Tribolium castaneum: one gene and its partner. The protein of the gene in region 2 interacts with the protein of the main gene of each other region in a biochemical or structural test. Links are inferred from orthologs where the notes say so. Each region holds a gene or a part of one and is shown on either strand. Other genes may lie near its edges. The genes, in order: robo1 and sli.

What was found.
Region 1: the proteins of sli (region 2) and robo1 form a complex in vitro, tested with the Drosophila melanogaster proteins (2 studies listed by BioGRID). The link is inferred for Tribolium castaneum from reciprocal best matches to the Drosophila melanogaster genes sli and robo1.

The regions. Positions count from the first base shown.
Region 1 is NC_087394.1:23,702,788-23,706,619, reverse strand, and holds part of robo1 (roundabout homolog 2), read right to left. Parts: intron 2,122-3,832; coding exon 1,855-2,121; intron 1-1,854.
Region 2 is NC_087397.1:863,295-867,126, reverse strand, and holds part of sli (protein slit), read right to left. Parts: intron 3,397-3,832; coding exon 3,161-3,396; intron 3,017-3,160; coding exon 2,872-3,016; intron 2,752-2,871; exon of another isoform or gene 2,622-2,751; intron 2,095-2,621; coding exon 2,023-2,094; intron 1,976-2,022; coding exon 1,904-1,975; intron 1,853-1,903; coding exon 1,781-1,852; intron 1,729-1,780; coding exon 1,657-1,728; intron 1,610-1,656; coding exon 1,538-1,609; intron 1,488-1,537; coding exon 1,324-1,487; intron 1,200-1,323; coding exon 1,049-1,199; intron 1,003-1,048; coding exon 856-1,002; intron 807-855; coding exon 663-806; intron 616-662; coding exon 452-615; intron 406-451; coding exon 201-405; intron 148-200; coding exon 4-147; intron 1-3.

The DNA of each region.
Region 1 (3,832 bases), on a different chromosome or scaffold from region 2:
GCAAAATATTTTTGATTATACATAGTGTCCCAATAAGTATGACGCCATAATAATATTTTTTTAATGGGATATTATTATTTTTATTGCCTTTCTAGCTTCTTAAATGACCCAAAAGTTTTTTTTTCAATCGCTTCAGGGAAAACGCTTAAAGTTCTCGGGTGTCTAGGTATGGAACTCGCATATGCTCGTTGCATAACGACATCCTTCGAACTTTAAGCTTGTGTTTTTGCATTCGTATTATTAATACCTACAAATGAGATTGATAAAATTATAAAATACATAGTTATTAATGATTAGATCATTTATTGAAACTACAAATTACATTAGCTATTCTTTTTTGAAGTTCATGAATAATTTATAACAGCTAATTTTGAGACAAAATGCGACTTTGGCATTTTAATATAGCAAATTTTATTTAAACATACACCACCACTTAGCATTTACAATATTTTGCTTAGAAAATAACTATTATTTACTTAGCAGTTGAAATGAAATTAATGGTGCTATTCTCTAGCTTCTATTACAATGTTATTGCTCTATTACTAGCTGTTAAATTCCTATTACGTCAACTCTGTTACTTCCTGTTAGCAACATTTCTACAGTAACATTCTCTGTTAAATAACAGCGACAAAAATCTCGCCATAAACTAACAGTGACAGTGACAGATCGTGTATTTTTGTGATGTTTTACCAAATTAACAAGAAATTTTATTAAAAATGTGAAAAATGGATAACACTAGAATCTTAGAACCAACTTGGAGAAAAAAAAAGATCTATCTTTAAAAAGATCAACTGGTATAATACAAAATGTTGCAAAGATAATTTGTAAATTTGTATAAATAAAAAAATTAACTCTGTGTACTCTTCATTTTGGTTACATTATGTCGTGAAAATAATAAAACAATTTTTTTTTAATTTGCATTATTTATTTTAAATTACAGTTTTTGTCTACCAATAATAATTTTCTATCTTCCAAATTGTTTTTTTTGCGTATGAGTTCTCTCCGGAACAGAATATAATAATTTGCATTCAATTCATTTACCTAATCCAACACGATCCCACGGAAATTGCCCCAAAACAAAAAATGTGATTTTTCCAATAATTAAGAATATTCTTTGCCCTGATCTGCACTCGTCCTTTGAATTCGTTTTTTCTTCACATTTTAATGGAACTCTTTGCAAGAGACGCTCGAAATGATAATTTTATAAAAACTTCTTGACATTTTGGAACAAAATATTTGTATCAAGTGGTAAGCCATACGTTAAAAACGACTTTCATTATCAGAATCGCAAATTAGACAGCTCTGTTAAGCCCATTTTGGTGTTAAATTTATTAGCGTCCATACATTTAGTTGCCAACCTCGAGTGGGTAAATTTCATCAATTGCATTTTTTTCTAATAAGTGATTTCAATAAGTTATTATAAATAATAAATAATAAAATAAATAATAATAACAATAATAATAATAATAATAATAATAATCCAAATAAATAATAAATAACACAATAATAATGGTCTGATTTTCAAATTAGACAAAAATACAAATAGAACACTTCGATAGTAGTTATCTATTTAAAAAAATATATAACGTTTGAATCCTTGCAATTTACAAATAAAGCGTCGTTTTAAGAAATAAAAATAAAACGAGATTTCGTCCAAACATTTAGAATGCAAAGCTCAACATTTCAGTTTTTTTTCCAAGTAATTAGTGAACCGGTTGAATATAAATTAATTTAAAACGTTTAGCGCCGAAAGTGTATAGCGTCAGAAGCGCCCGCATTTTGACTCTGCTGTAGAGAAAATCGCGCGATTTTGTATCTCGTTTCGTGTCCAAATCTACAGTCCTCCATACTCACAATTAACGACGAGCGATGCCTTGGCCGTGATGCTGCCGACGACGTTCTCGGCCGCGCAGATGTAAATGCCCTCGTCGGAGGTCTGCACGTTGTCGATGAGCAGCGACTTGTCGTCGAGGATGCGGGCGCGGCCGATGGGCATCTTGCCGTCCTCGCGCCGCCACAGCACGTTGGGGACGGGCTCCCCGTCCACCGCGCACTGGAACACCACCCTCTTGCCCAGGAGGGCCACCACGTCTTGGGGTTCCTTATTGAAGAATGGCTTCACTGCAACGATAAATTGCGAGTCACGCCAGCGGTAAATAAAAATGAAGAGGGAACTTAGGGGATTTTCACAGTGTTATTTACTCGCCTAAAAATAAAACTTGGGCGATTGAATCGATCCCTAGCGGCGGAAGCGCTCAATAATGTATCGGTATCCGCCACCATAATCACAGTAATTAAATTTCGCGTTTAAATTAATCAAAAGATGGCTTAATAATTCAAGGTTTGGGGACCGCACGATCCGTAGTCCTTCGGCCAACCGACTTGTGAATAAAGCATTACATTCAGCCGCTTCAAAGGACAAAGCGGATTGTGGGGTTCGGTCGTTATTTCAGTTAGAGCCACAAAAATTCAACTTCAAGAACGTAGCGGAAAAGTGATGTGTTTGGTCAGATATTTAGCAAATGGGGCATTTAACACGAAGTAGACAAAGATATAACTTTGAGATCTTGAAATTCGGTCATATTCGGGATAATTGTTCTAGGAAGTATGATTGTAAATACATAATTATTTTTTTGTATGACACTTATGTGAAGATATTGACTTCTAAAAATTTAACAAAATATGAGACACAGAGTTTTTGGAAGCTTTTATTTAAAAAGCTAATGCATACCAAAATATTTAAAATAGTGTTTTACATAGCAAATTCTCTGTTTTTTTGATTGCGAAATCAGATTTGGAATTTGAAATTTTTTGGTGTAGAAAACCGGAAGTGAAGTTTTAAATCCGAATTTTAGTAACTTGGACCATTTTTTCTTAATTTATTTTTATTTTAAAAAATAGCTCATAATATCTAGATTTTACACTATAAGTCTCAAAATGGGATCTCTATTTCTTTAGGAGATACAGTATTTAATGTACGTGATCGTCCAGTTTACGCAAGAAATTACGCGTTTTTAAGTACATTCCATTCCATTTTGCGAATTATAGTGTGAACTCTATTTACTTTAAGCTATTTTTTTCAATAAATATAATTAAAAAAAAAGGTCCAAGTTACTAAAATTCGAATTTGAAACTTCACTTCCGAAAAAAATTTCAAATTTCAAATTCGATTTCACAAAATTACAAAAGTACGACTTTGATTTTTTCATATGTTATTAACGTTGACATCTTTTACTAATCAATAATCATTTACCAAATTTTATTAATGAACAACTGACTCAAAATATCGCAAAATTTCCGTGTTTTCAACACGGATATTTTTATAAAAAAATGGGTGGTATTTTAATAACTTTAAATCACTTTTCTAAGAATTTGCATCGAAGATAAACCAAAAACCACAAAATGTTATTGTTACTTTTTGTTACCTAGCTGAAAAGTCACTACATTACATCGAAATCGACTGAATTTAGCTGTATTTTTTCGATTTAGCACGTTTTTGAAGAAATTATTAATTGTATAAAAAATTTTCGAAACGAATTTCAGCAAAAAAAAACTTAATTTTTTTGCGAGATTTCACTAGAGAAGACCAAAACGCCAAATTAAGTCAAGTACTATATATCTTCTTTTCGATTGTTTTAGCATATTTTGGAGACAGGAAGCTAATTCTTTCGCAAAATGTTGTCAAAAGCATATCAGAAAGTTACCAAAATAAGTCGAAAAAGGTGTTATTTTGTCTTTTTCAAAAGTTCAAGCACATTTTTGGGGTAAAAACAACTTTTTCGATTAATTTTGCCAACAATGATAGTTAAATCACAAAATTTGTTCCAAATCA
Region 2 (3,832 bases):
TACAATATTCGGAGGGATTTGAGCCCGGTTAAGGCGTTGCGTTGGACACACTGCAGCTTGTTGTAACTGATAATGAGGGTCGAAAGTTTCGATAAGTTGGCGAAAGTGTTGTTTGATAACATCCCGATTTGGTTGCTACTCAAATCCCTAAAATAATCATCCAATTAGCACAAAATTAATTCAAACAAAAAATGAAATACAGTCGGGTCAGTGATTTCAAATGACTGATCCGGTCCGCTTGAATTGTGGTGATTTCGTTGATGTCCAAATACAACTCGGACGTTTCCGGGGGAATCCCCCGGGGAATTTCGGTCAGTTTGGCCCTTGAACAGCGCACGACAGTCCCAGTGCACGAACATTTAGGGGGGCAGTAATTTTCACCCAAACATCCCTGATCATTGTCACCTGAAACCAAAATCAGTGCTTGGTTTTTATCACTCAGTTTTTTTACTTGTGCATTTGAATTCATTTTTGGGCAGTTCTCTGATTAGCACGTCTTTGACTCTTGTTGGGCCCGCACATTTCGGTGGAGACCCACTAAGACCTTTACTTTTCAACCAGTCGGAAAACCACGCCAGGTGGCAGTTGCACATGAAGGGATTTTGCATCAAATTCCTAAAAAACAAATTTATTTATAGTCGTATTTTTTTGGAAAAAATTACAAAGTGTGGAGTGATGTCAAGTGGTCAAAAGAGCCCGGCATGACGCAAGTAATCTGGTTGTTATTAAGTGACAGTACTTTCAAATTGTGGAGTCCTAGAAACATTTTGTTGTGTATTTCGAGTAATTTATTTTCCGACAGTAATCTAGAAATAAATTGGTTAAGCTTGAAGTTGGATTATGTGAAAATAGTACAATTCATAAATTCTGGAAGCTCCCTCGAATGAATTTTCCTCGATTCCGGTGATTTGATTCCGCCGAAGGTCCAGTCTTATTAGGTTCGGAAGTCGGCCAAAAAGCCCATCGGATTTGATTCGTCCCAGCTCATTATCGTGTAATAAACTGGAAAAGATTTTTAACCCAGTTTATTTAATTCTACGTGACTTACAGTTCAGTTGTGTAGACTGGAATATCGCGTGGTATTTCCTTGAGCCCTTTCCCGGAACAATCCACGACCGTCCCGTCGCAAGTGCAGCCAGAAGGGCACGCATTATCAATGAGACACTCTCCTGCAAATCTGGTCCTAAACTCTTCCTGGCCTAAAATCGCAATTTCCTCTCATAACCCAGCCAACAAATTGCAATGATATGTTAATAATGTGATGTATGGAAGGTTAAAAAATGAACACCATCGCCACTGAATTAATCAAGTGGAGGTGCTTACCCTTACATTTAAACTTTTCGTCCTTCAAGGCTTCAATCCGGCGCCTTTGCATCCGCTTTGGAGTGTCACATCTCGCCCCAGAAGTTTCAATTGGGTTTCGGTGGAGATATTCGGCGAGCCATTTCAAGTTACAGTCGCATATAAAAGGGTTCCGGGCCAAATGGCTGAAAAAATATTTTTTCAAGTCGGGTGTTCTTTCAACTTTTTAGCTTACAGTGTCTGGATGCTTCGCAAGGAATCAAAACTGCCATTGGCCAGCGATTGGATGTTATTATCATACAGCGACCTAAAAAATAATTGATTTCCCTGGTTTTATTAAACTCGTTCACTCACAGTAGACTCAAGCTGTGCAAGTCACTAAACGTGTCCTTTCTTATACACGTAATTTCATTCGCGTTTAGTAGACTGAAAACAATTAAAAATCGTAATTAAGTTCGTTAGATGTGATTTAACTTACAGGAGTTGCAGCGAAACCAGACCTTGAAAAACTCCAGCCGGGAGGTCTTTAATTTTATTTCCGTATAAAACTCTGAAAAGTGTGATTGTTAAAAGAATGTTGCTCGTTTTATTAAGTACTTACAAGGAGGTCAGCGCTTTTAATCCCTGGAATGCATCCGATGCTATTTTTGATATTTTATTGTTACTCAAATCTCTGAAAAAAGTTGATGAGAAAAAGTCTGATTGGATTTGCTGACTTACATTCGCCGCAGACGCTTATGGGCCGCGAAAGCTTTCGTCGGGATTTCCACAATTTCGTTCTGCTCTAAGCGTCTGAAAAATTCAGTAGTGCCAATTGAAAATGCTCCACAAAAGTTTATTTTTGTACAGATTGGGGTACAGAGCAATTATAATTATTCTCTGGACGAAAAATAGTATCAAACAGGGGATTATCTTATTAGTTTATTGCTTTATAACGATGAAAATAGGGAAAGAAACATAAATAAACAGCACTGCAAGTGATTTTTGGCACGATTATTTTTTGTAATAAATTAATAATATAAATATGGAGTAAGTACCGCAGAAGCGAGCAAAAATCTTCAATATTAAAACTTACATTTTCTGCTAAAAAGTGGTTTAAATCCACTGTTCATTACTTTAGCCTATATTTTGTTGGAAAATATTCTGAATTTTGGAAAAGAGGAAAAAAAAGTTCACAGTTTTATTTGATGAAAAAAATGTTTGAGGTTTTATTTTATTTTGAAAAATGTGGTTCTAGAAAATCTGTAATATCTATGAAAAATAATAATTGGAATCTTCTTTATTTACTGATTTGTGGAAAAATGTTTGATTAAATTAGAGGGAGCGCCTCTGGAACAATGCCAAGAAACAGCTCCACGTGGCCAAAAATTATGTGCTGGGTATGTCTTGATTGCCATACCCCACGAGGCGGTTAGCCTCATGTGCTATAAAGTAGCAAGCACCCTTTTTTGAACTCGCTTGGTCGCTCCTCGTGTATAAACGTGAGAGCGTCCCCATTCTAGTCGTGAGACGAAGCAGCGAGCGCTATCTCGGGTCGTGCGCTGGAAGTATCAAATCGATAGTCCTTACAATTCTGTGGTTCCTTCCGGAAGATGATCCGGAACTTTCGTCAGTCCTTTTTCCCTGCAATCTACAATTCCATCCGCGCATCTGCACGGATGCGGACATTCGGGCTCGCTGATGCATTCCCCATTGATGGCACGTTCGGCCAAACCTGCAACATTTTTTTCTCAGAAACTGTAAAAAAGTTTGGTTTTTTATTTGTGGGAAAATGCGAGGGAGTGAATGTGAGAAATGCGTGGTCGATCAACAGGTTGGTTGTATAAGTGATTGCCTAACCCGGCGGCGTTCCACTCACCGGAACATTTGAATTCCTGATCCTGCAGATCGGCGATGTTTTGTCCTTTGAGATGGTTGGGTGAATGACATCTGGTGTATTGGGCAAGTCGTGGCGAATGTCTTAAATATCTCGCCAACCACGACAATTGACAATCGCAGTGGAGGAGGTTGTCGCTGAGGCGCAATGTTCGCAAACGAAACATGTTACTGAACATATCTTTGCCGATCCATGTGAGGTTGTTGTTATTTAGAGTCCTGTTGACAGTAAATTGAGTTTATTAAAATTGATTCAGTGGACATCAAAGAGGAGGAACGCTGTGCGATTTTACTTTGATAGTTTTTCTCAAGGCGATGAGCGCTCTCTGTGAAGTCGGCGCGATTATTTTTAGAGCGCAATTTGTACGTTTATGTGTCTTCCTATGTACCAACTTGCATGGTTGATGATTGTTATTAATCGTGAGTGCACTGGCTCTATTTCGAGCCTTTGGAAATTTTGACCAAATCAACTAACCTGACGATTTAGTTTTTAAACTTGGGAACAGATTTTTTTTTATGTTATTCTGACTTTAAATATTTTTTGTTAAGTGTATACAAATCAGAAATTAAGTAACCCATAGCTTTGTGAAAACTTAGCAAAATACAGTGAAACCTCCCTTTAAGGACACCTCCCTATAACGGACACCTCTTCACA